Anolis sagrei: one gene and its partners. The protein of the gene in region 3 purifies or fractionates together with the protein of the main gene of each other region. This does not show direct contact. Links are inferred from orthologs where the notes say so. Each region holds a gene or a part of one and is shown on either strand. Other genes may lie near its edges.

Evidence for each region.
Region 1: the proteins of COPG1 (region 3) and NUDCD1 purify together in Homo sapiens (affinity purification with mass spectrometry; 3 studies listed by BioGRID and IntAct, counting the BioPlex papers as one, with this or other methods). This does not show direct contact. The link is inferred for Anolis sagrei from reciprocal best matches to the Homo sapiens genes COPG1 and NUDCD1.
Region 2: the proteins of COPG1 (region 3) and COPB1 fractionate together in Homo sapiens (co-fractionation; 11 studies listed by BioGRID and IntAct, counting the BioPlex papers as one, with this or other methods). This does not show direct contact. The link is inferred for Anolis sagrei from reciprocal best matches to the Homo sapiens genes COPG1 and COPB1.
Region 4: the proteins of COPG1 (region 3) and COPE fractionate together in Homo sapiens (co-fractionation; 6 studies listed by BioGRID and IntAct, counting the BioPlex papers as one, with this or other methods). This does not show direct contact. The link is inferred for Anolis sagrei from reciprocal best matches to the Homo sapiens genes COPG1 and COPE.

What each region holds. Positions count from the first base shown.
Region 1 is NC_090024.1:26,950,178-26,957,591, forward strand, and holds the start of NUDCD1 (nudC domain-containing protein 1), read left to right. Parts: upstream 1-4,396; 5' UTR 4,397-4,487; coding exon 4,488-4,611; intron 4,612-7,414.
Region 2 is NC_090021.1:250,245,840-250,252,935, forward strand, and holds the start of COPB1 (coatomer subunit beta), read left to right. Parts: upstream 1-4,071; 5' UTR 4,072-4,295; intron 4,296-7,096. Other genes in the region: PSMA1 (proteasome subunit alpha type-1), read left to right, coding at 526-582. UniProt on the Homo sapiens protein: The coatomer is a cytosolic protein complex that binds to dilysine motifs and reversibly associates with Golgi non-clathrin-coated vesicles, which further mediate biosynthetic protein transport from the ER, via the Golgi up to the trans Golgi network.
Region 3 is NC_090022.1:56,476,839-56,483,712, reverse strand, and holds the start of COPG1 (coatomer subunit gamma-1), read left to right. Parts: upstream 1-3,866; 5' UTR 3,867-4,081; coding exon 4,082-4,118; intron 4,119-6,874. UniProt on the Homo sapiens protein: The coatomer is a cytosolic protein complex that binds to dilysine motifs and reversibly associates with Golgi non-clathrin-coated vesicles, which further mediate biosynthetic protein transport from the ER, via the Golgi up to the trans Golgi network.
Region 4 is NC_090034.1:52,171,496-52,178,550, reverse strand, and holds the start of COPE (coatomer subunit epsilon), read left to right. Parts: upstream 1-4,044; 5' UTR 4,045-4,089; coding exon 4,090-4,206; intron 4,207-4,358; coding exon 4,359-4,421; intron 4,422-7,055. Other genes in the region: probable ATP-dependent RNA helicase DDX49, read right to left, coding at 1-61, 508-629, 705-790, 1,068-1,191, 3,419-3,608. UniProt on the Homo sapiens protein: The coatomer is a cytosolic protein complex that binds to dilysine motifs and reversibly associates with Golgi non-clathrin-coated vesicles, which further mediate biosynthetic protein transport from the ER, via the Golgi up to the trans Golgi network.

The DNA of each region.
Region 1 (7,414 bases), on a different chromosome or scaffold from region 3:
AGAAATAACGTAAATACATAAATAATAAATAAACTGCATTAATTCAACAATGCAGATGCACTCTTGGGCTGAAGATGCAGTTAGCACAAAGCAACTATTAGCGGCATATACAAAGCAACTATTAGCTGCATATGTACCTAATATGCAGAGACATTTTAGGTACACATTTCAGTTTTAATTTCATATTTAGACTTGTGTCTCATCAATATCTCATTGTGGATATTGTTTTTAAAAATATATTTTGGATAAGGGATACTCAACCTGCATCGCTGCAAAGTAAACATTTTTATAAAATCAAACCTCTTTTTCTCTTTTTCTCTTTATTATCCAATGCTGTCTGGAAGGCTTAGGAAAATATTTAATTATCATTTTTTGTTGTTCATTCGTTCAGTTGCCTCCAACTTCTTGTGACCTCATGGACCAGCCCATGCCAGAGTTCCCTGTCAGCGGTCACCACCCCCAGCTCCTTCAAGGTCAAGCCAGCCACTTCAAGGATACCATCCATCCATCTTGTCCTTGGTCGGCCCCTCTTCCTTTTTCCTTCCAGATACCCATGATGCTCAGGGATTTTTCAAAGCCACAAAGGTCATCTATGGACCAAGAAACCATGGCATACAGCCTGTACACTCATCAGATGGAACCAAACTTCTGAAGGACAAAAAAATCAATTGCACTACGTTGGAAAGAACACTACCAAAGCCTCGGGCTTTATTTCCTGAAATATGGACTGGTTGGATCTTCTTGCGGTCCAAGGCACTCTCAGAACTTTCCTCCAACACCACAGTTCAAAAGTGTCTATCTTCCTTCACTCAGTCCATCTCTCACATCCGTAGGTGACTATGGGGAATACCACTGCTTTAACTATGTGGATTTTGGTTGCCAGTGTGATGTCTCTACTCTTCACTATTTTATCGAGATTGGTCATTGCTCTCCTTCCAAGAAGTAAGCGTCTCCAGATTTCCTGGCCGCGATTTCTTGACAAAGTCTATCACGGCCTCCATGTTTTCTCCCTCTATTTGCCAGTTATCAATCAGTTTGGTTGCCATAATCTTGTTTCTTATATATATATATTTAGCTGCAACCCAGCTTTTGCACTTTCTTCTTTCACCTTGATTAGAAAGCTCCTCAGCTCCTCCTTGCCATCAAATTGGTATCATCTGCATATCTAAGGTTGTTAATGTTTCTTCCAGCTATTTTTACCCCAGCCTTGCATTCATCAAGCCCCACACATCGCATTCATACAAGTTGAATAGGTTATTATTATTATTAACTTTATTTATACCCTGCAAAATCTCCCGAAGGATGCGGCTTACAAAGGCCAAGGCCGCCGACAAACAACAACATACAATACACAATAAACTCATAAGCAAATAATAAACATCAAGCAAAACAATAAAACAGTAAAACAATGACACCGTGATGCAATTAAAACCTAAAGGCCGGGCCAAATGTAATGGACAAAATTTTAAAAGTTCTGAACTTGACAGGTGATATGTAGAGGTATTTGGTGGTAGGTGCAATGTGCAGATAATCCTGAATCTCTAGCAAAGTGCATTTGGGACTTGATGCCAGGAGTTTCCTATTCTGGAAAGGCACACTGGAACAGCCAGGTCTTCAAGCTCTTCCTAAAGACAGCCAACGTTGGGGCTTGTCTGATGTCCTTGGGGAGGGTGTTCCAGTCGGGGGGCCACCACAGAGAAGGCCCTGTCCCTCGTCCCCACCAAACGCGCCTGCGACGCAGGTGGGATCGTGAGCAGGGCCTCTCCAGATGATCAAAGGGAGCGTGCGGGTTCGTATTTGTTTGGTCACGCAGGTAGGCAGGTCCCAAACCGTTTAGGGCTTTGTAGGTGAGCACTTGCACCTTGAATTGGGACCGGAAAATGAACGGCAGCCAATGGAGCTCCTTGAACAGGAGGGTTGACCTCTCTCTGTAAGGGGCCCCAGTTAACATCCTGGCTGCCGCCCGCTGAACTAGCTGAAATTTCCGAGCCGTTTTCAAGGGCAACCCTTGTGAAACTACAACTCCCATAATTCCATAGCATTGGGTGAGAGTATGCAACCGTGTTGTACGCCTTTCCCAATTATATCAATTTTAGTATTTAGTTATTTAATATCCCATTTTCATGTCTTTATGTTGTTTGGTACTTGAATGTGTATCTATGTTGATATACAGTAAATTTAATGTTTAAAGAAACTTTCTGAGAAATGTCCTAAAGAAGGAGCAGTTATATTAATCTGAACTCATGCTACATCAGAATTATGAAGGTGTGTCTACACCGTAGAATTTAAGAAGTTTGACACCACTTGAACCGCTTTTGCTGAATGCTATGGAATCATGGGATTGCTGAGGCCTCAGCCCTCTTTGGTAGAGAAGGCTACAGCCCTTGTGGAACTACAACTCCCATAATTCCATAGCACTGAGCCTTGGCAGTCAAAGGGGTGTCAAACTGCATTAATTTCACGGTGTAGATGCACCATTATGACTTTTAAAAATGAGGTCTCCCCGACCAGCTCAATTAAACAGCTGAGAATGGGAAAAAGTGAGTGAGAGAGAGGCAGGTACCTGTCCCGGAGGCCCTTCGCTTCCTCCCGGCTCTTTCCTCCCAAAGTCGCCTCCAACTCCCCGCCGCGCAGCCGCAGAAACGCCCAAGAGGGTCCCGCCCACCGCACTACGTTCTGACCTCATGCCTCGCAAAGCAGAACGGGAAACGTAGTCCTTTATTGCGTCTCCCCTTGTTCTCCAGTGTCTCAAATGAACTACAAGTCCCAGAAGGCCGCATTCTCAAAGCAGCTCTCCCTTATCTCCTGGATGTTCTATATTAGGATAGGGTCTTATTTAAAACGGAGAAAATGAATCAACTAAATAATAATAATAATTATTATTATTATTATTATTAATTAATAAGCAAAATTAATTGATGCTATGGGATGGGGCAAATAAATGGGATTTATAAATCAGTTATATTATGAATCAACTAATAATTAATTAAATAGTAACTAATGAGTAAAATTGATTAATGCTATTGGGGCAGGGGCAAATAAATGGGATTTATAAATAAGTTATATTATGAATCAACTAATAATAAAGAATTAATTAATATTAATAACTAACATTAATTAATGTTATTGGGATGGGGCAAATAAATGGGATTCGTAATTAAGTTATATTGCCAATCAACTAATAATAAAGAATGTATTAATTAATTAATAATTAATTGAGTAAAATTGATCAATGCTATTGGGATGGAGGCAAATAAATGGGATTTGTATTTAGTTATATTGTGAATCAACGAGTAATAAAGAACTTATTAATTAATAATTAATTGAGTGAAATTAATCAATGCTATTGTGGCGTAGGCAAATAAATAGGATTTGTAATTAAGTTATATTATGAATCAATAATAAAGAACTTATTAATTAATTCGTATTTAATTGATGAGTAAAATTGATGCTACTGGGGCAGAGGCAAATAAATGGGATTTGTAATTAAGTTTATTGTTAATCAACTAATAATAGATAACTTATTAATATTAATGAATGAAAATAATGAATGCTGTTGGGGTGGTGGCAAATAAATAGGATTTATAAGTAAGTTATATTATGAATCAACTAATAAAGAACGAATTAATTAGTAATTAATTATTAATTAGTAAAATTAATCAACACTATTGGAGACGGGGAAAATAAATGGGATTTATAAGTAAATTCTATTATGAATCAACTAATAAAGAACTAATTAATTAGTAATTAATCATTAGTCAGTAAAATTGATTAATGCTATTGGAGGCGGGGGCAAATAAATGGAATTTATAAATAAGTTATATTATGAATCAATTAATAAAGAACTAATTATTAATTAGTAAAATTAATTAAGGCTATTGGAGGCGGGGCAAATAAATGGAATAAATAAGTTATATTATGAATCAACTAAGAAAGAACTAATTAATTAGTAATTAATTAGTATAATTAATAATTAATTAGTAAAATTGATACTATTGGAGGCGGGGGCAAATAAATGGAATTTATAAATAAGTTATATTATGAATCCACTAATAAAGAATTAATTAATTAGTAATTAATTAGTAATTAGTAACATTAATTAAGGCTATTGGAGGTGGGTGCAAATAAATGGAATGTATAAATAAGTTATATTATGAATCAACTAATCAAAAACTTGCTAATTAATTAATAATTAGTAATTAATTAATTAGTAAAATTAATTAATGCTATTGAGGTGGGCAAATAAATGGGCTTTTAATCCCCTGTGGATGTGCTTCAGGGATTCCTCATAAACAAGTCTTTGAATGAGAACAGCCAAAACGCAGAAGTTGCCCACTCAGTGGCCCGGATGTAGTTCTTGAGCAGCAGTCACTCAAAAAACTACACTTCCCAGAACGCTTTGCTCGCACTCTTCTACCTAGAAGCCTCTGCGGGCTGGAAGAGGCGTCCTGGCTTCCCTGGGCCTCTAATAGGAGAAGAAAGAAGCGATGGAGGACAAAGCGGCGGCCAATTGCTCCCTGCGGGTCAAGCGCCCCCTCTTGGACCCCAAGTTCGAGGGCTACAAGCTGTCTCTGGAGCCGCTGGCCTCTTACCAAGTCGCCCTGGACTCCCGTAAGTGGATCTCAGCACCAGAGACTGGCCAGGCGGGAAGACACAATCAAAGCCCTCCCGACAGATGGCCAGCCAGACTCTGTTTAAAAAAGGGGCTGGCAAAAAAGGGATATCCAGGATTCTATAGTTAAAGTAGTGTCAGGTATGATCCAAAGCAGGAATGGGCAAACTTGGGGCCTCCAGGTGTTTTGGACTTTAACTCCTACAATTCCTAACAGCCGGTAGGCTGTTAGGAATTGTGGGAGTTGAAGTCCAAAACACCTGGAGGGCCCAAGTTTGCCCATGGCTGGTATAGACAGCGACACATCCATGGGGTTGATCTTGTCATTTGAAAGTTGTAGTTGCTGGGATTTATAGTTCACCTAGAATCAAAGAGCATTCTGAACTCCACCAACGATGGGATTGAACCAAACTTGGCACACAGAACTCCCATGACCCAAGTTGGTGAACTACAACTTCCTTGAGTTTTGGGAGTTGTAGTTCATCTACATCCAGAGAGCACTGTGGACTCAAACAATGATGAATCTGGACCAAACTTTGTTCAAATACTCAATATGCCCAAATGTGAACACTGGTGGAGTTTGGGGAAAATAGACTTTGACATTTGGAAATTGTAGTTGCTGGGATTTATAGTTCACCTACAATCAAAGAGTATTTTGAACCCCACCAATAGAATTGGGCCAAACTTCCAACACTGAACCCCCATGACCAACAGAAAATGTGTTTTCTGATGGTCTTTGGCAACCCTACTGGAACCCCTTCATGACCCCCCCCCCCCCCGGGGTCCCAACCCCCAAATTGAGAAACACTGAATTAAGTAAAAGTAATATCTAAACAGGGAGAGCCATATTACAAGCGTTAGGATTGTCTGTGGCCCCCATCTACACAGCTATATAATGTTTGCTGCCAGTTTCCTACAAAGCACAGTTCAAAGTACTGGCTTTGCCCTATAAAGCCCTCAATGGCCCCGGCCCAAATTACCTGTCCAAACGTATCTCCCTCTCTGAACCAACAAGGAGGTTAAGATCTGCTCTCGGTCTCATCACCTTTGCAGGTGCGACTGGTGGGGACAAGAGACAGGACCTTCTCAGTGGTGGCCCCTCAAGCTGTGAAACTCCCTCCCTAGTGGCATTTGATTGGCCCCTTCCCTGCTGTCATTTTGCAAAAGAGTGAAACCTTGTCTTTGGGATCATTTCGGCCAGCATAATTATGGGTGCAATATAGTTGGAAGTGATGCATGCCATATGCCAGCAAATATGGAAAACACAAGAATGGCCATCAGAGTGGAAAAAATCAACTTATATCCCCGTACCAAAAAAGGGAAATGCGAAAGACTGCTCCAACTTCCGTACAGTGGCCCTTATTTCTCATGCCAGTAAGGTAATGCTCAAGATCCTGCAAGGAAGACTCCAGCAATACATGGAGCGAGAGTTGCCAGATGTACAAGCTGGGTTTAGAAAAGGCAGAGGAACGAGAGACCAGATTGCCAATACCCGCTGGATAATGGAGAAAGGCAGGGAGTTTCAGAAAAACATCTACTTCTGCTTCATTGACTATTCTAAAGCCTTTGACTGTGTGGATCATAATAAACTGTGGCAAGTTCTTGGTGCGATGGGCATCCCAAGCCACCTTGTCTCTCTCCTGAGGAATCTGTACAAGGACCAAGTAGCAACAGTCAGAACTGACCACGGAACAACAGACTGGTTCAAGATTGGGAAAGGCGTACGGCAAGGCTTCATACTCTCACCCAACCTTTTTAACTTGTATGCAGAACACATCATGCGATGTGCGGGGCTTGTTGAATGCAAAGCTGGGGTGAAAATTGCTGGAAGAAACATTAACAACCTCAGATATGCAGATGATACCACCCTGATGGCCGAAAGCGAGGAGGAGCTGAGGAGTCTTCTAATCAAGGTGAAAGAAGAAAGCGCAAAAGCTGGGTTGCAGCTAAACATCAAAAAAACCAAGATTCTGGCAACAAGAATGGTTGACAACTGGAAAATAGAGGGAGAAAATGTGGAGGCCGTGACAGACTTTGTATTTCTAGGCACAAATATTACTGCAGATGCAGACTGTAGCCAGGAAATCAGAAGACGCTTACTTCTTGGGAGGAGAGCAATGTCCAGTCTCGATAAAATAGTGAAGAGTAGAGACATCAGACTGGCAACAAAGATCCGCCTAGTCAAAGCCATGGTATTCCCTGTAGTAACCTACGGATGTGAGAGCTGGACCTTAGGGAAGGCTGAGCGAAGGAAGATCGATGCTTTTGAGCTGTGGTGTTGGAGGAAAGTTCTGAGAGTGCCTTGGACTGCGAGAAGATCCAACCAGTCCATCCTCCAGGAAATAAAGCCTGACTGCTCACTGGAGGGAAAGATACTAGAGACAAAGTTGAAGTACTTTGGCCACATCATGAGGAGACAGCAAAGCCTAGAGAAGACAATTATGCTGGGGAAGGTGGAAGGTAAAAGGAAGAGGGGCCGACCAAGGGCAAGATGGATGGATGGCATCCTTGAAGTGACTGGACTGACCTTGAAGGAGCTGGGGGTGGTGACGGCCGACAGGGAGCTCTGGCGTGGGCTGGTCCATGAGGTCACGAAGAGTCGGAGACGACTGACCGAATGAAAACATAGTTGGAATTGCCTTTGGATTGATGAATAGGATGATCTGACTTTGGATCGATGCACAATAGTTGTCTAATGTTTACATAGGTTGTTTTAATGTTGTTTTAAATTATTGTTTAATTGTTGTTGTTGTTTGGGCATAAAATAATACCGCTCATGTAGGCCGCCCTGAGTCCCATTCA
Region 2 (7,096 bases), on a different chromosome or scaffold from region 3:
AATGAGTGTCTACAACTGTTCTGTTGTTCAATAATTCAATAGGAAATGGCAGACTCCCCCCCCCCCCAGATCTGAAGGGATACCCCAATATTTGTCGGCACATTTTGAATGTTGGGTGCCACAGTTTAGAAGCTGAAATTGTTAGTAAACACATTTCAGTTACTAAACACTAACAGGCTATTCTGGACTGACTTCATTGGATTTTTCAATCACAAAATCACATTTATCAATAAAACGTTTGGTTGGAGGTAACTGGAATTTCCGCTCAATATTTTTTTATTAGAAGATTAAACATTTAGTTAAAATAGTACTGCATATGAATTAAATAAACAAATTCTGACAAAAAATGAAACCATTTGACTTTGAATAAAGAAAAATGGAAAATTGAAGATTAGATCTTATACCCAGTTCTGTAGCTTTTATATTGAATAAAGATTGCAGCATTTCATTACGAGATTTTCTTTTACAGTTTGGGATCAGTGAAGCTTAAAAGTGTAACACTTGCCTATTTTTTATCTTTTTAAGACTGCTCAACCTGCTGAGGAAACAGCAGAAAAGCCTGAGGAGCCAATGGAGCACTAAATACTGCGCACAAAATATGGGGTTTATTCCAATTGCAGCACTGCTGGGAGTCTTCATTTGTATTCTGGCAACTTAACTCTGAGATGAATGCGTATTGTAGTGACATGTTATAGTGAGTCAGTCTTCAAAATGTATTGCCAAAAATCTTGACACTGGCAGTGGGGAATTAATAAACTGACCATTTATCTTGACAAGAAAAGCTGTCATTTTCTTTAAAAAAAAGTATGGAATACTGTTTTATATAAAAAGTTGCTTTTTTAAAGGCATCTGTTAATAAATCTTTCTTTCCTGAAATGTCTTGTTTTAGCTTTTTTTATCTGATTAGTCAGAGAAACATCAGCCAGTCATTTAATACTATAATTCGTATTGCCATGATGTTCACTTTGGTTTTGTGAAATGGTTTCATTTTACAAAGGGAGTAACTTTCAAAAACCAGACAATATTGAAGAACTTAAATAATTCAGCATAGTCAAGCATTTTTGACTTGTATGAAACAATAGTTAACTATTTGTTTCATACTAAAGATCCAATGATTTAAATAATGAATGCTGCATTGTCTTTATTTTTCTTCTGTTTGTAATCCAGGCCCTTGTTATGAGAACATGTTTGGTATAGTGGTTTGAGCATTAGTCTATAGTTTAAATTTCTGCTCATCCATAAAACTCACAGGGTCACTTTGGGGAAATTAAACTTTCTCATCTTCAGAGAAAGGCAATGGCAAACCCCTGAACAAATTTTGCCAGGAAAACTCTTTTATAGGTTCGCCTTACATTCACTGTAATGTTCTGAAAGCACACAACAACAATATAAGCGGTCCTAGTCATGTGGACTCTTTCAGTGTTGTAATAGGTGTTGACAGTGCAGAAAGAAAAAAATGGTTTCTTGTGGAATATATACCTATATAAATGGCTGGAGTTGCACTTAAAATGTTCTTACTTACATACAAATTCAACTTAAGAACAAACCCACAGAATCTATCTTGTTTGTAACTTGGGGACTGCCTGTACTGTATATGAACTATGAATGGTAACACTGAAAATACAGTAAATGATAGGGAAAGAATAACTGCCATATTACACCAGTGCTGCAACATTTACATTGGCTTCCAACTGAGTACCGTGGCCTGTATAAGATGTTAGTTCTGACCTTTAAAATTCTTTACGGCCAGGGTCCATCGTACCTTAGGGACCGTCTCTCATTCTCCCATCATCAGAGGTCGCAACGACCATCCCAACATGACTTACTTTATATACCAGGTCCTAGAGAAGTGCACCTGGAAAGGACCAGATGCAGAGCTTTTTCTATTTCTGCCCCTGCCTTGTGGAATTCCTTGCCGCCCTGAGAGCCATTCGTGAGTTAGGGCCTTTTACCCTAGCACTTAAGACCTGGCTTTTTACTAGAGCATTTGATCTATGTTAATTTTATCAATATCTGTATGTATGTATTTTTATCCTTTACAATTTCAGCTTGTAAATCGCCAAGAGCATCTTGGATGGAGGGCGATTAATAAGTAATTAAATGATGATGGTGATGATGATGATGAAAGAAGAGAAAGCAGTAATGCCTTTTCCCCTTGAGCATTTTGAATGGCTTGGAGCAATTGTTTCAGTTTAAATCTTTATAAACTAGCCCATTTCATTATATATCTTCTTTCTTTGCTTCCATTCTCATGACAAACAGCCAGCCTCTTGCTCTTCCCCTCTTAACCCTCTTTATATGTGGCAAGGGGTATTGTTGTCTGAGCTCTGACATTTCACCATAGTAGTATCATTTCTACTCTGTAGTACACAACTGGAGCATCATATTCCTTATTCACTACTGTAATTTATTGATCCCAAGGGCGGGGGGATCAACATTAAATAATGGAGAAAATGACAAAAAAAAGGAAAAACATTCTATACAGGTGTGATTCCTGTCTACAGTTAAAACTTAACTACACAAAGCAAACATCACAACGCCCTTCTAAAATAGAAATTTATTACAATAAACAGTGCGTAACTAATTGAAACTAAAACACAGAAGAACTTGATTATTTATTTACAGTATTTATATTCCGTCCTTCTCACCCTGCAGGGGACTCAGGGCACATCACAATGCACATATACATGGCAAACATTCAATGCCATAGACACACAACATATATAGAAAGACACACAGAGGCTATTTAACTTTCCAGCTTCACGAGGGTATGATCGAATTCCGGCCACGGTGGAGTTGTTGTTTCACCGTGCACACTGCTGGAGATTTTTTCAAATGCCATCGTAAATTAGTTAAATTAGCCTCCCCGCATAAGTGGTACTTAAATTTCCTACTTGACAGATGCAACTGTCTTTCGGGCTGCAAAGGTCGACAGCAAGATAGACAAATGGTCAGGAGCTTACTCCGACCCCAGCTGGCTTCGAACTTGTGACCTTTCGGTCAGTAGTGATTTTAATGCAGCTGGCTCCCAACCAGCTGCGCCACAACCCAATCCCCTTTATTTATCGTGTCAGGAGTGAACCAAAACAATTGTATTGCATTAAAAACAAATGAACAGACAGACAAAACACAAAGTTTGCAGACTTGGTATTCTATTAAATGTCCTTTGACCAGTAGCTGGCCACTTGGAGTGCCTCTGGTGTTACTGCAAGGTCCTCCATTGTGCATGTGGCAAGGCTCAGGTTGCATTGCAGTAGGTGGTCTGTGGTTTGCTCTTCTCCACACTCACATGTCGTGGATCCAACTTTGTAGCCCCATTTCTTAAGGTTGGCTCTGCATCTCGTGGTGCCAGATCGCAGTATGTTCAACGCCTTCCAAGTCGCCCAGTTTTCTGTGTGCCCAGGAGGGAGTCTCTCATTTGGTAGCAGCCATTGATTGAGGTTCGGGGTTTGAGCCTGCCGCTTTTGGACTCTCGCTTGCTGAGGTGTTCCAGCAAGTTTCTCTGTAGATCTTAGAAAACTATTTCTTGATTTAAGTCGTTGGCATGCTGGCTGCTATCCAAACGCGGTGGGCTGGAGATGTCACTGCCTTAGTCCTTTCACTATTGGTTGCTACTACCCGGCCGATGTCAGATGGTGCAATACTGGCTAAACAATGTAATTTCTCCAGTGGTGTAGAGCGCAGACATCCCACGATAATGTGGCATGACCCAATCCCCTGATAGAAGCTATAATAGATGAGGGGGAGAGACAATTTTTAAGACTATCGGACATGGGCAAACTTGGGCCCTCCAGGTGTTTTGGACTCCCAACTCCCACAAGGCCTAACGGGGAAAAGGAAGGGGCCTGAGGCTGTTAGTCCTTGTGGGAGTTGGGAGTCCAAAACACCTGGAGGGCCCAAGTTTGCCCATGCCTGGACTATATTATGCAGTACTACCATTACAGATCTTTGCTGCACTGAGCTGGATGCGACAACCCGCTTGGCCCCGCCCCGGGCGCGAGGGACGCGGAAGAGGCCGCGCTTTCCCCCTCTGGAGGCAGCACGCCTGTTCCGCGAACGGAGGAGGCGTGTCCCAATCGGGCCGCCGTAGTTCCGATGTGGCCTGTGCGCGGAGGGCTGCTTCCACGTCAGCTGGAGGAGTCGGGAGCAGGAAGGCGGCGGGAGCGGCGGGGGAAGTGAGCGGCGGAGGGAGGATAGTGGTAGTGGCCGCCGCGGGAAGATAGCACCCGATTGCCTGCAGCCACCCGGAGGCTCCCTGGGCGAGGGCAGGCCCACACGGAAAGGACGGAGCGGCGGTGAGTTGTATCCGCGTCTGACTGGGAGGAGAGGCCGCGGACCCTGGGCTCGCTTGCTCGCTCTCACACACATACACTCACGCTGGGCCTTCTCTCCCTTTCCGAAGGCCCAGCTTTGCGAAGCCTAGGAGCCGCCAGCCAAACCAACCCAGGGCCGAAAGCAGAACTTCCACAGGATCCCCGCTATTTGGAGCATTGTCCGCTGGATCCCGCGAATTATTCCTGCGGGGAGACTCCGAGTCGTTTCTGAGTCATGGCGACTCTAAAGCTTCAGGTTTCCTTGACAAGATTAATTCAAAGTGGATTTGAATGTCCCTCCTCTGAAGCCGAGAGAGTGTGACTTGCCCAGCGTCACTCATTGCCTTTCCTTGGCTGAGCAGGGGTGCAAACCCTGGTCTTCAGACTCTCAGGGTGCATCTAGACCAGGCATGGACCAACTTCCCTCCAGGTGTTTTGGACTCCAACCACCACAATCCCTAGTAGCCTTATGGCTAGCGTCGGAAGAGATCCATGGGTCATCCAGTCCAACCCCCTGAAAGGGAGGAAAACACAATCAAAGCACTCCCAACAGATGGCCATCCAGTTTCTGCTTTTAGACCTCCAGAAGAGGAGATAAGCCAGTCATGGGCAAACTCAGCTTAAGCAGCTGAGGGGGAAAAGGAAAGGGCCTGAGGCTGTTAGGTATTGTGGGAGTTGGAGTCCAAAACACCTGCAGTGATGGCCAAAGTGTTGTTGAAGGCTTTCATGGTCAGATTCACTGGGTTTCTGTGAGTTTTCCAGGCTGAATGTCCCTGTTCCAGAAGCATTATCTCCTGACGTTTTGCCCACATCAATGGCAGGCATCCTCAGAGGTTGTGAAGTCAGTTAGAAACTATTTATTTATTTATTTATTTATAACTCTTGTGTGCCGTTCTTCTCTACCTCCGTAGAGGGACTCAGGACGGCAAACAGCAACATTCAATGCTACGCAATAAATAGTATAATAAAACAACATACAATAAATAAGTTCTAAAATACATATAAAAACAATTCATCACATTAAAACAACGTCCAACTCAGTCCAAAACATTGTGGCCAAATTACTCTTAGTCTATATCCAATCATCCATCAATCTGCAAATGCCTGAGCCCACAGGCAGGATTTTAGCTGCTTCCTGAATGACAGGAGAGAGGGGGCAGACCTAATCTCACCAGGGAGAGAGTTCCATAGTCCGGGGGGGGGGGGGGGAGCTACCACAGAGAAGGCCCTGTCTCTCGTCCCCACGAAACGCCCCTGCGGAGGTGGTGGGACCGAGAGCAAGGCCTCTCTAGAAGATCTTGTAATCCTCAATGGTTTATCGGGGAAGATACGTTTGGCCAGGTAAACCGAGCCCAAGCTGTATAGGGTTTGGTAGGTTAAAACCAGCACTTTGAATTGTGCTCTGAAGCGAATTGGCAGCCAGTGGAGCTGGTGTAACGGGGGGGGGGGGGTGTGCACTCCCTGTACCCAGCTCTCGTGAGCAACCTGGCTGCAGAGCGTTGGACTAATTGGAGCTTCTGAACAGTCTTCAAAGGCAACCCCAAGAAACTAGGCAAGTGAGGTTTATATATCTGTGGAATTGTACTCTTACAACCACCATGTCAGACTACACAGAAAAGCCAGAGCAATCCACAAGCATGTGGACAGTTTCAACAGAAAGGAGGAAACCATGAAAATGAACACTATCTGGCTACCAGTCTTTTTTGAAACAAACTCTAAAATCATAACAGCAAATAAAGAACAACACTCAGAAAACAGGATTTCTAAACAAGGATAAATGAGGGCCAGCTAACAGCTCCCAACAAAGGATTCCCCCACGCAGCAACCAGCCAGGCCTTGAAACTTCAGGTCATTAAATGCTCATCAAGGTGGCTAATAATAATAATAATAATAATAATAATAATAATAATAATGGTAATGGGTTAAACCCTTGTATTGGAAGGACTGCTGATCGAAAGATCGGTGGTACAAATCCAGAGAGTGGGGTGAGCTCCTGTCTGTCAGCTCCAGCTTCCCATGCGGGGGCATGAGGGAAGCCTCTCACGGGATAGTAACACATCCGGGCGTCCCCTGGGCAACAGCCTTGCAGATGGCCAATTCTCTCACACCAGAAGTGACTTGTAGTTTCTCAAGTTGCTCCTGACACACACACACACACACACACACACAAACAAACCCATAAATCTTTCTTATAGCCTACTCTACTGTCCTTGTTTTGCCCTCTTGACTTTGTTGATCTTTTCCAGATGTGTTGAATGTTCTTCCATCTTTCCTAGCTGGCACAGCTATATATTTTAAAATAAGTCATTCACAGTGGTTTCTTTAAATCTATTGAAATTTTAAGTATATATTTCAGTCTAACCGTTATAATGGTGGATCGTAAGGTGCTCAGTTTTGATCCTGCCCTTTTATTTTAATGAGATGTATAGTCACTTATGTTTCTGTAGTATCTTCCTTATGTGTGCACTCCTTATCAGAAAAGGCTTGATATTGTAGTCATTTATTAAGGTAGCTTTGTAACAATATAAATTTGTTTATTTTCCATTGCTACTATATTTTAACACTTGTGCAATGTGCGTATGACACAGATAAATTGTGTACATATTTATCTGATAATATATCATATGATAGTACCCCTTGCTGAATCTAAAGGGGCTTGCTTCTGAATAGGTTTGCATTAGGCTGCAGCCTTGATTTTCTCAATAGGGTTAAGGTTACATGCTTGTATTGCACATTAATTGGATTGTTTACTTTAAAATTATTGGTACATCGTTTTAAATACA
Region 3 (6,874 bases):
CAAACTACAACTCCCAGGATTCCATAGCATTGAGCCAGGGCAGTTAAAGAAAGAGAACAAAGACATGTTTGTGGGACTAAGCCTTTGGCAAGTAAAATAATGCAATACAAAGAATAATTAAGGAACATGTGCAATGACGATCGGAATGGCTATGGTGCACGATTTTTGGATCATGTGATTTTAATATTTATACTAGGATGATTTTAATGCGTCACCTGAATGTTTACATTTTGTTTATGCCTTATGTTTAGTTTTAATTATTTTAAGTCATAGTTATTAGTTATTATGTAGTAATTAGTTATCATGATCTCTTTTTTTATTGTATGTTGGCATTGAATCTTTGCCATTAATATATTGTAAACTGCACTGAGTCTCCCCAGGGGTGAGAAAGACAGTATATAAATATAGTAAATTAATAAATGGTGTCAAACTGCATTAAGTCTTGAGTGTGCGTGCACCCCAAATCTGGAAATTAGTTATCTAGCCAGACTTGAGTGTAATGTCATTTTCATCACAGTCTGATCTTTCTGTGTTGTCAGAATGATTTAAATCTAGACAAATATCATTCACAATCTCCAGAATGCCAATTCCCACCTGTGCTACTTATCATAGCCAGTGATGCGGGAAGATGGATGTGGCACTGTAATAACATCTGGAGGGCCACATTTTTCCTAGCCATGGTTTACAAGCCACACTGGTCAGGAAACTGCAGAAAAATTTATTGTCTCTTTCAGAACAAATGGAAAGTCCTAAGGTGACTATATATACAACTTTAGAAAAGGACACTACATGAATGAAAAAATAATTATAATTATTGGGTTGTTGTGAGTTTTCCAGGCTGTATGACCATGTTCCAGAAGCATTTTCTCCTGACATTTCACCCACATCTATGGTAGGCATCCTCAGAGGTTGTGAGGTCTGTCAGAAACTAGGCAAGTGAAGTTTATATATCTGTGGAATATCCAGGGTGGGAGAAAGAACTCTTGCCTAGTTTCCAACACACCTCACAACCTCTGAGGTTGCCTGCCATAGATGTGGGTGAAATGTCAGGAAAAACTGCTTCTGGAACATGGCCACACGGCCTGGAAAACTCACAGCAACCCAGTGATTCTGGCCATGAGAGCCTTTGACAACACAATTATAATTATTTTATTTTTTACCCTTCCTCTCCTCATATTGGATTTCTGTCCACAAAATAATAATAATAATAATAATAATAATAATAATAATAATGCAAAGACTCCGACACAAGCCAGTCAAGGTGGTCCCAGTGGTGATATGAGGATTTAAAGATTGAACTGCAAAGACTCTGGCACAAGCAAGTAAAAGTGGTCCCAGTGGTGATTGGCATATTGGGTGCAGTGCCTAAAGACCTTGGCCTGCACTTAAACACAATTGGCATTGACAAAATTACCATCTGCCAGCTGCAAAAGGTCACCTTACTGGAATCTCTACGCATTATTCGCCGATACATCACACAGTCCTACACTCTTGGGAAGTGTCCAACGTGTGATCCAATACAACAGCGAGCAGAGTGTTTTCTGTGGACTCAACTTGTTGTATTTATAATAATTATAATAATTATAATAATTATAATAATAATAATAATAATAATAATAATAATAATAATATATCACACAGTCCTAGACGCTTGGGAAGTGTTCGGCTTGTGATTTTGTGATATGAAATCCAGTATATACGTATATCTCGTTTGCTGTGACATACTGTGTTTTTGTTTCAGTAAAATAATAATAATAATCTTTATTTATACCCTGCCATCATCTCCCCGGAGGGGACTCAGGGCAGTTAACATGAGGCCAAGCCCAAAGATAAAATTGTTGTTCATTCGTTCAGTCGTTTTCGACTCTTCGTGACCTCATAGACCAGCCCACGCCAGAGCTCCCTGTCGGCCGTCACCACCCCCAGCTCCTTCAAGGTCAGCCCAGTCACTTCAAGGATGCCATCCATCCATCTTGCCCTTGGCCGGCCCCTCTTCCTTTTGCCTTCCACTTTCCCCAGCATAATTGTCTTCTCTAGGCTTTGCTGTCTCCTCATGATGTGGCCAAAGTACTTCAACTTTGTCTCTAGTATCCTTCCCTCCAGTGAGCAGTCGGGCTTTATTTCCTGGAGGATGGACTGGTTGGATCTTCTCGCAGTCCAAAGCACTTTCAGCACTTTCCTCCAACACCACAGTTCAAAAGCACCTATCTTCCTTCGCTCAGCCTTCCCTAAGGTCCAGCTCTCACATCCGTAGGTTACGACAGGGAATACCATGGCTTTGACTAGGCGGATCTTTGTTGCCAGTCTGATGTCTCTACTCTTTACTATTTTATCGAGACTGGACATTGCTCTCCTCCCAAGAAGTAAGCGTCTTCTGATTTCATGGCCATACAATACAGCAAAATAAAATACAAAATACAAAACAACAAAAATTACATCAGAATGAAATGCATACAGTAGCAAAATAAAATAAATAAATAGAAATAACATAATGGAAAAGCTTTCAAAAGCATTAAACCTTACCAGAAAAAGACAGATGACAACCTTAAGAATGCAAATTGATCAGAATGAGTAGGATTTCTTTTTCTTTCACCTTTCCACTTAATTTTTCCCCCTGAAAAACAATTCAAATTATTTGTGCTGCCTGATCAATAAAAAGGAGTCCTTAAAAGGTGTTAACTTTATGGAAGGTGCTTAGAAAGGAAGTTTTCCTTCTCTTCCACTTAAGAAAAACACTGTTCCCAACATACTGCTAAACAGGACAAAATTAAGTTTATTTTCAGCTCTTATTTTGAATGCAAATTATACAGAGATATCTTATTTGATGCCACAGGGCTTCCCAAATGATGCCTAACATATTGTCGAAGGCTTTCATGGCCGGAATCCCTGGGTTGTTGTAGATTTTTTCGGGCTGTATGGCCATGGTCTAGAGGCATTTTCTCCTGATGTTTCGCCTGCATCTATGGCAAGCATCCTCAGAGGTAGTGAGGTCTGTTGGAACTAGGAAAAGGGGTTTATATATCTGTGGAATGACCACTCTCACAACCACCATGTCAGACTACACAGAGAAGCCATTGAAATACACAAGCATGTGGACAATTTCATCAGAAAGGAAGAAACCATGAAAGTGAACAAAATCTAGCTACCAGTATTAAAAAAAACTCTAAAATTGCAACAGCACAATAACAGAGAGGAAGCAGGTAGCGACATCTAATTACCTCTCAACAAAAGTTTGCTCCAGGCACAGTCAACCCATTGTATGCTAATCAAGGTGGTCAGTTGAAACATTCACACCTAGCTCCAGCAGACAAGAGTCCTTTGTCTCACCCTGGTCATTCCACAGATATATAAACCCTTTTCCCTAGTTCCAACAGACCTCACAACTTCTGAGGATGCTTGTCATAGATGCAGGCGAAACGTCAGGAGAAAATGCCTCTAGATCATGACCATATAGCCCGAAAAAACCTACAACAACCCGATGCCTAAACACTCTAAAAGCACTAGATTCTGGTGGATCTAGGAAGTTAGGCAGGAGGTTATCTTTCAAAGGAAGGAAAGGGCAAAACAACCTGAATAGTGTGACATTCCTACAGACTCTGCCCACCTCCCCATAAGCCAGGCATGGGCAAACTTCGGCCCTCCAGATGTTTTGGACTTCAACTCCCACAATTCCAGGGTTGAAGGGGGGGGAAGGTGCTATTCTTAACGTTCTACGCTTGGTCTTCCAATGGCTCCGCCCCACGAAGCGTTCCCCGCTGCTATTGGCTGAGGGATCGATGACGTCACACGCCTTTCCCCTAAGCTCCGCCCTCGCACTGTCAGCCACGTAAGCCCTCTTTGGGCCTCACCAGCGCAGCGTGCGCATGCGCCTTTCTGTCAAAGCTGAGCCCAGTCAGGGTTGTCATGTTGGCAGGAAGTGGCGCCCGGGCAGGAAGTAGAACTCTTCAGGGCTGCAGGCAGAGCCAGGTGCTGCCTTCTCCTCCTCCTCCTCTTGTTCTCTATTTGGGCCCTTTCCCCTTCCCTCCCTCCTGGTGAGTTGTCTGCCTCCTCTTCCACCACCCCTCCTCTGCCAAGGGACAAGATGCTGAAAAAATTCGACAAAAAGGATGAGGAATCCGGTGAGTAATGCTGGGGACCATGGGTGCATCTATACTGGAGAATTGATGCAGTTTGACAGCACATTAGCTGCCTTGGCTCAATGCTATGGAATCCTGGGAGCTGCAGTTTGGTGAGCCACCATCACTCTTTGGCAACTACAACTCCCATGATTCCACAACATTGAGTTAGGAAAGTTCAAGTGGTGTCAAACTGTATTAACATCATAGCGTAGATGCTCCCCAGATGTAGTTTGGATTTTAGATATTATTATTATTATTATTATTATTATTATTATTATTATTATTTGAAACACAACAAGATGAGTCCACAGCAGATAAGATTATTCTGCTGGCTGTTTAATTAGATCACATGTCAGTCCCTTCTCAAGCCTAAACACTCTAAAAGCACTAGGACTGTGTGATGTATCGGTGAATAATGTGTGCAGATCCCAGTAAGGTGGCCTTCTGCAGCTGGCAGATGGTAATTTTGTCAGCGCCGACTGTGTTTAAGTGCAGGCCAAGGTCTTTAGGCACTGCACCCAGTGTGCCAATCATCACTGGGACCACCTTGACTGGCTTGTGCCAGAGTCCTTGCAGTTCGATCTTTAAATCCTCATATTGTGTCAGCTTTTCCTGTTGTTTCTCTGCAATCCTGCTGTCATCTGGGATTGTGACATCAACAACATTATTATTATTATTATTATTATTATTATTATTATTATTATTATTATGTTTTTGGCATGCTCCTGTCATTTAGGAAGAAATTGAAGTTGTGTTTCTGGGACCAGGCTTTTGGACAACAGACATAGATAGTACTTTGGACATGGAATTGGATATGGAATTGACTGGAATGATGATACGGCTATTAATACTGTTTTTTACTGTGTTAATGAATGTTTTACTTATTGTTTTAATTGTTATTATATTGCTCTGTTATATGTAGTGGCATCAAATTGCTGCCAAATGTAAGCCGTCCTGAGTCCCCCTTCGGGGGTTGAGAAGGAACGGGATAGAAATAAATAAATGTACATGAGATATTTTGGAGACAGGACACACCCCGAAACACCAATTTTATTTATATTTCATATACACCTTATGGGGTCCCCCCAGTGGCTCAGCGGGTAAAACTGCTGAGTTGCTGAACTTTCCAACCCAAAGGTCAGCAGTTTGAATCCAGAGAGCAGGGTGAACTCCCACTGTTAGCCCCAGCTTCTGCCAACCTAGCAGATCGAAAACATGTAAATTTATTTATTTATTTGATGCATTTATTAACCGCCATTCTCAGCCCTTTAGGGCGACTCATGGCGGTGTACAACACATATAAAAAGGCAATTTACCAAGAGGCAATTACAACAACATATTAACAATACAACAATTACAAAATTACACTAAAAATCCGCTTCGTCTCATAGTGGAATCATAACCAATCTCATATTCCTTGTTCCTTTCCAGTCGTCTTTACCACATTTTTATAGCACTTAATTAAATGCCTTCTCGAACAGCCATGTCTTAAGGCTTTTTCGGAAGGACATAAGGGAGGGTGCCTGTCTGATGTCTGCAGGGAGAGTGTTCCACAGCCGGGGGGCCACCACCGAGAAGGCCCTCTCCCTCGTCCCCGCCAGACGTGCCTGTGAGGCAGGCGGGATCGAGAGAAGGGCCTCCCCAGACGATCTCAAGGTCCTCGTGGGCTCGTAGGCCAAGATACGGTCCGAAAGGTATTTTGGGCCGGAGCCGTTTAGGGCTTTGTAGGCCAAAACCAGCACTTTAAATTGGGTCCGGTAGCAAATCGGCAGCCAGTGGAGCTGGGACAACAAGGGCGTTGTGTGCTCCCTGCCTCCCGCTCCAGTTAGTAACATGGCTGCCGCGCGCTGAACCAGCTGAAGCTTCCGGGCCGTCTTCAAGGGCAGCCCCACGTAGAGAGCGTTGCAGTAGTCAAGGCGGGATGTGACCAGAGCGTGTACCACCGTGGCCAAGTCAGACTTCCCGAGATACGGGCGCAGCTGGCGCACGAGCCTGAGCTGTGCAAATGCTCCCCTGGTCACCGCTGAAACCTGGGGATCCAGGCTCAACGATGAGTCCAGGGTCACACCCAAGCTGCGAACCTGCGCCTTCAAGGGGAGTGCGACCCCATCCAGCACAGGCATAAATGTGCATATATCAATAGGTACAGTTCCTGCGGGAAGGTAACGGCACTCCATGCAGTCATGTCAGCCACATGACCTTAGAGATGTCTAGGGACAATACCAGCTCTTTGGCTTAGAAATGAAGATGAGCACCAACCCCCAGACTTGGACACAACTAGACGTAATGTCAAGGGGAAACCTTTACCTTAGACATATAGCCTGAAGTTAATTTTGATACCCAATATTTTAAAATAATTTTGTGCATGAAGCATCAATTAACAATTAATCCATAATCTGGAGTTAGTTTAATACAATGTTGTCTAAGATGAAACAAATGTTTTTATACATCAGCTCATTGGAAAGCAACTCTCTCAGCTGCTCATGTGAATAATTTCAGATTTTGGGGGATTTTGGAAATACAGCTAAGGGATGCTTAACCTGTATTGACAAATCTCTTTATGGAGAACAGGGGACAAGTGTGTAGTTATGGAAGATGTATTTTCACTCCTCAGTACAGAGCACCTCAAAGGAATATACCCTTCCATAGTATATAGTTGCCTATACACACTAAGGAAGAGATATCCCTATCATCCAATAAATGGGCCCAAATTATGCAGACTTTTGTGGTTGATGTTTCTCCAGGGATCAACACTG
Region 4 (7,055 bases), on a different chromosome or scaffold from region 3:
CCAGGTCTTGGGTGAAGTCAGTGCAGCCCTGTTCCAGCAAACGGTCTGCTTCATCCAGGACCTAAATCCCAATGAGGAAAAAAAGAAGGGATCCTAGAGCGGGATGACCCCAAAAGGTCATCCAGTCCAACCTCTTTCTGTCAGGTAAGAAGGCTCCATCTAAGGCTTCCTAAAAGATGGCCATACCGACTGAATGATAGACTCATAGAGTGGGAAGGGGTCCCCGAAGACCATCCAGTCCAACCCCTTTCTGTCATAGACACCATCCAAGCCCTCCCGACAGATGGCCACCCAGACTCTGCTCAATAATAATAATAATAATAATAATAATAATAATAAAATCCTAAAGTTGGAAGGGATCCCACAAAGGCCATCCAGTCCAACTCGTCTGTCATAAAGGGGGACACCATCAAAGCCCTCCCAACAGAGGGCCATGTAGACTCTGTTTATAGAATCCTAGAGTAGGATGGGACCCCCCAAGGCCAACCAGTTCAACCCCCGCCTTACCAAGACCTTGATCCGTTGAAGGCTGCAGGGGTTGGAGCTGCGGAGGTGGTCGGCCAGGCGCCCTGGGGTGGCGACGACCACGTGGGGCTTGCGGGAGAGTGCCAACGCCTGGGACACCATGTCTGCAAGGAGAGGGAGGGATCACGTCATGTATTCGTGGTGCACTCTCTCAGCTTTTCGGCCCCATATATACGTACCCATGCCGCCCACAACGATGCAGTCCTTCAGGCCCAGTGGCTTCCCTAGGACTCGGAACTGTTCAGCGATCTGGTAGGCCAGCTCCCTATTGGAAACAATAAATCGAGAAGGGAATATACATAATATATCAACACAGTCCATTCTACCACCTAGGAAGACACCATCAAAATCCTCCTGACAGATGGCCATCCAGACTCTGTTCAATAATAACAGCAACAATAATAATATAATCCTCGAGTTAGAAAAGACCTTTTAAAGGGCCATCCAGTCCAACCCCATTCTGCCGTAAAGGAAGACACCATCAAAGCCCTCCTGATAGATGACCACTCAGCACCTGCTTAGTACTAATACTAATAATAGACCTTGTGGGCGTCAGGACGAGGCAGAAGATGCCGTAGGGGTCCTCTGAGAGCCTCTGCAGGACCGGAAGCACAAAGGCAGCCGTCTTCCCACTCCCGGTCTTGGCACAGCCCATGCAGTCACGGCCTGGAAAGAAAGCAAGAACTCTGAACATGTTCTGAGGCAAGATCAGCTCAAAGGAAACCCCCCACCGCTTTGCTAAGGGGTGATTAGGCAAGCCCCAACCTTAGCAGCCTTCAAGAAGGATCTCAAAACTTGGCTTTTCTGTTGCACCTTTGGAGAGTGATCAGATATTTCCTTTTGTTGCTCCTCTCACAATGTTTGTCCTCATATTGCACTCCCCCCCTCCTGTTTGAAAGCCTGTCTCCACTACTCCGTCTCCTATGAGCTTCTCCCATACCAATATTTCTTTTACATCTCTATCTCATCTTGAATTTTATCATTTTATCTCGCACATGTGGGCCGCCCATTGGGATTGACTCTGCATTGTATTATTTTGTATTGTTTTATTGTATTCTTATGTTTTTATTTATTTAATTGTGATGTTTGTTTTGTTGCTCTGGTTTTATTTTGTACTGTTGGGCTTGGCGTCATGTAAGCCACCCCGAGTTTCCTTTGGGGAGATGGTGGAGAGGTATAAATAAAGATTATTATTATTATTATTATTATTCCACTGATTAGATTTAAATGTAGAACAGGGTTCATGGAGAACTAAGTGGAGAAAACACTCTGCCCATGCTCAGGAATCCCTCCCCCAGGCTATTTAGTGGGGAGGGTGATTTAGAGTGGGCATGGTTTTCTGTGAGGGCGTGGCTTGAAGAGCCCCCCCACTGGGGATCAAAGGGAAACTGAGTGGGCGGGGCTTCACGAAGGGCGTGGTTTGGCTGAGAAGGCTTTCTGTGGGGCCGTGGCTTGAACGCCTAATTGCCAAGGGAAACCTGGAGGCGTAGCTTAATGGTTTTTTTTGGTTGTTTTTTTTAAACAGAAGAACGGCCTGCCTCAGGGGAGCGTGCTTGTTCCATCCATGTTCAACATCTACACAAATGACCAGCCACTGCCAGGAGGGACAGAGAGTTTCATCTATGCTGATGATCGTGCCATCACCGCTCAAGCAGGGAGCTTTGAGATGGTTGAAAAGAAGCTATCCGAAGCTCTAGGTGCTCTTACTGCCTATCACAGGGAAAACCAACTGATCCCTAATCCATCTAAAACACAGACATGCGCCTTTCACCTTAAGAACAGACAAGCATCCCGAGCTCTGAAGATCACCTGGGAAAGGAATCCCACTGGAGCATTGCAGTGCACCCAAATACCTGGGAGTCACTCTGGACCGTGCCCTGACCTACAAGAAGCACTGCCTGAACATCAAGCAAAAAGTGGGCGCTAGAAACAATATCATACGAAAGCTGACTGGCACAACCTGGGGATCACAACCAGACACAGTGAAGACCTTGCGCTATGCTACACTGCTGCTGAGTACGCATGCCCAGTGTGGAACACATCTCACCACACTAAAACAGTGGATGTGGCTCGTAATGAGACATGCCGCATTATTACGGGGTGTCTGCGCCCTACACTACTGGAAAAATTACACTGCTTAGCCGGTATTGCACCACCTGACATCTGCCGGGAAGTAGCAGCCAATAGTGAAAGGACCAAGGCAGAGACATCTCCAGCTCATCCCCTGTTTGGGTATCAGCCAGCACGCCAACGACTTAAATCAAGACATAGTTTTCTTAGATCTACAGAGACACTCGCTGGAACACCTCAGCAAGCGAGAGTCCAAAAGTGGCAGGCTCAAACCCAGCACCTCAATCCATGGGTGATACCAGATGAGAGACTCCCCCCTGGGCACACAGAAGACTGGGCAACTTGGAAGGCGCTGAACAAACTGCGCTCTGGCACCACGAGATGCAGAGCCAATCTTAAGAAATGGGGCTACAAAGTGGAATCCACGACATGCGAGTCGAGAAGAGCAAACCACTGACCACCTGCTGCAATGCAACCTACATGCACGATGGAGGACCTTCTTGCGGCAACACCAGAGGCACTCCAAGTGGCCACATACTGGTCAAAGGACATTTAATCAGCTACCAAGTTTGCAAAATCTGTGTTTTTTGTTTTTTTTAAATCTGTGTGTTTGTTTTGTTCTGTTAGAAATGTAATACAATGGTCTGGTTGCTGATGACACGATAAATAAATAGCTTAATGTGTGGGCGTGGCTCGGAGGCTCTTCCAATGAGGGTTAGAGGCAACCGAAGGGGCGTGGCTTGAAGAGCCTCCCAGCAGGACGAAAGGGGGCGTGGCTTGAGGCGTCTGAGGGCGTGGCCTGGTCGAGCGCGCGAGGTCTTACCTTGGAGCGCGGGTGGGATGCAGGCCTCTTGGACGGGAGTAGGCCGCTTGAGGCCCAGTTGCTCCGCTTGCGCCGCCAGCCAAGGCGACAGGCCCAAGGCACGAAAGCCGGCTGCCGCCATCACACTCCGGAGGAAAGAGGAAAAAGGAAGCAATCCCAGAGTGCCACGCGGTGGTGCGCTCTGCGTCATGACGTCACGAACCTGAGTCGGGCTGTATAGGTTGTCATGGCAACGCTGTAGCTTGTGTCCCAGAATGTTCAGCGCGAAGCTTCAGAGCGTCGAACAAATTAGAAATCACAATAACACGAATATTATCATATTTAGTTGTTACCCAATACGAATTGATAGAAATTATAAGAAAAAATTAAAATACTATTATAATTTATAATTATAATATAAAATAATAGAATATATATATATATATATACTTATGATTTCTATTTATTTTTTTCTTCTCTTGATCGCAATCTCACTCCCAGTCTTGTCACTCTAAACTTTTCCTTTCTCTATGTTCACACTCTCTAGCGTCAGCCCTTTTCCTTGCCTTGATTGGTCAAACGGGAGAAGGGGCGGGGCACAGCGAGTGAATGACAGCGCGACGGCCAATCGCCGGCGAGGGAAGTCGGAAGTGGAGACGTGTCAAACCTTCTGAAGGGAAAGCCGGGCCAAGATGGCGACGACGGGGGCAAGCGGCGCTGCGGGCGAAGCCGACGAGCTCTTCGACGTCCGGAACAACTTCTACATCGGGGCCTCGCAGGCCGCCATTAATGAGGCGCAGCGCGTGAAGGTGAGGCGTCTTTTCTGCGAGGAGGAGCGGTTCCAAAAGCGACGAGGCCTCACTGAGCGGATTGGGGCCTGCAATGAATTCTGTCCCTCGGCCGCCTTTTTCGAAATGTATTCACTAGAGTGATAATATGTCTCCCTTTCTTCTCTCCTCAGGCATCCAGCCCTGAGAAAGAAATCGAGAGAGACGTTTTCCTGTTCCGCGCCTATATTGCTCAGGTGAGGTCGAGATATTATATTGTTAGGTTCTTGTGGGTTTTTTCGGGCTATAGGGCCATGTTCTAGAGGCATTTCTCCTGACGTTTCGCCTGCATCTATGGCAAACATCCTCAGAGGTAGTGAGGTCTGTTGGAATTAGGAAAATGGGTTTATATATCTGTGGAATGGCTGGGGTGGGGCAAAGAGCTCTTCTCTGCTGGAGCTAGGTGTGAATGTTTCAACTGACCACCTTCATTAGCATTTGAAGGCCTGCCTGAGCCTGGGAAAATCTTTTGTTGAGAGATGCTTGGATGTCCCTGATTGTTTTCCCTCTGCTGTTTTGCTGTTTTAATTTTAGAGTTTTTTAATACTGGTAGCCAGATTTTGTTCATTTTCATGGTTTCCTCCTTTCTGTTGAAATTGTCCACATGCTTGTGGATTTCAGTGGCTTCTCTGTGTAGCCTGACATGGTGGTTGTTAGAGTGGTCCAGCATTTCTGTGTTCTCAAATAATATGCTGTATCCAGGCTGGTTCATCAGGTGCTCTGCTATGGCTGACTTCTCTGGTTGAAGTAGTCTGCAGTGCCTTTCATGTTCCTTGATGCGTGTCTGGGCGCTGCGTTTGGTGGTCCCTATGTAGACTTGTCCACAGCTGCGTGGTATACGGTAGACTCCTGCAGAGGTGAGAGGATCCCTCTTGTCCTTTGCTGAACGTAGCATTTGTTGGATTTTCTTGGTGGGTCTGTAAGTGGTTTGTATGTTGTGTTTCCTCATCAGCTTCCCTATGCGGTCAGTGGTTCCCTTGATGTATGGCAGGAACACTTTTCCTCTGGGTGGATCTTCATCTTTACTCTCGTGGCTCATTCTTGGTCTTGCAGCTCTTCTGATGTCTGAGGTGGAATATCCATTGGCCTGGAGAGCCCAGTTGAGGTGGTTCAGTTCATCTTGGAGGAGGTGGGGTTCACAGATTCTTTTTGCACGGTCTGCCAAGGCTTTAATTGTGCTTCTTTTTTGACTTGAGTGATGGTTGGAGTTTTTATGTAGATATCTATCTGTGTGTGGGGGTTTTCTGTAGACAGTGTGACCCAATTGTTGATCTGGTTTGCGGATAACTAGGACATCTAGAAAAGGCAGTCTTCCTTCATTTTCTTTTTCCATTGTGAATTGGATTTTTGGGTGGATGCTGTTAAGATGGTCCAGGAACCTGTTGAGTTCTTCTTCTCCATGGCTCCAAATGGTGAAGGTGTCATCCACATATCTGAACCATATAGTGGGTTTTTTGGTTATTATATTATTATATTGTTATTTTTGTATTTATATTATTGTAAAACATATTATGCAGTAGTAATATTATTTATTTATTCATTTATTTATTTTTATCCCGCTGTTCGCGGGGTAAAAATAAATGAATGGTTAAAACAACAGAAATTACATGTCACAAAAAACACAACATCCTCACCCCAAATAAAACAGACACACAAATAACACATTCAGTTGTTGTGTATTTTCCGGGCTGTCCTGCTATGTTCCAGAAGCATTCTCTCCTGACGTTTTGCCTGCATCTATGGCAGGCATCCTTAGAGGTTGTGAGGTTTGTTGGAAACTAGAAAAATGGGGAATGTCCAGGGTGGGAGAAAGAACTCTTGTCTGTTTGAGGTAGGTGTGAATGTTACAAATGGCCACCTTGATTAGCATTTGATGGTCTAGTAGTTTTCAAAGTCTGGATTCTTACTGCCCAGGGGAATCCTTTGTTGGGAGGATTAGCTCAGGATTCCCCCAGGCAGACCTTATTTATTTATTTACTTATGGTGTTTATACCCCCCTCCTTTTCTCAGCCATATGGCAACTCAAGGCGGGTTACAGATAGGCACAGTTTGATGTCAGGCATTCATAAAAGTGTCATTTAAAACAATCAACATTACAATATAAAACATAAATAAAAACCGTTAAATCATTGGTGTCATCTTGTTAAAAACATCCAGTAACATCATCTGCCATTCCATGTTCATCATTCATAGTTCCATGTTATCTGTTCCGCTGCATTCTCAAAAGCTTGCTGAAAGAGCCAGGTCTTTACTTTTTTTTTCAGAGGGGGCCGATCTAATATCCCTGGGGAGAGAGTTCCATAGCCAGGGAGCCACCTCTGAGAAGGCCCTGTCCTTCGTCTCTGCTAATCGCACTTGTGAGGCAGGCGGGACCGAGAGCAGGGCCTCCCCAGATGATATTAAGCTCCTAGATGGTTCATAGGAGTAGATACGTTCGGACATGTAACCTGGGCCGGAATCATTTAGGGCTTTATAGGCTAAAGCCAGCACTTTGAATTGTGCTTGGTAGCAAATTGGCAGCCAGTGGAGCTGACGCAACAGAGATATAGTGTGTTCTCTGAGCACTGCTCCTGTTAGCTCCTATTAGTAACCTGTCTGCCGTTCTTTGGACCATTTGAAGCTTCCAAACAGTCTTCAAAGGCAACCCCACGTAGAGTGCTATGCAGTAATCTATTCGGGATGTAACAAGAGCGTGGACCACCGTGACCAAGTCAGACTTCCCAAGGTACGGGCGCAGCTGGCCTTGAAACTGCTAGGCCATTAAATGCTAATCAAGGTAGCCAGTGGCTACATTCATACCTACCTCAAACAGACAAGAATTCATTCTCCCA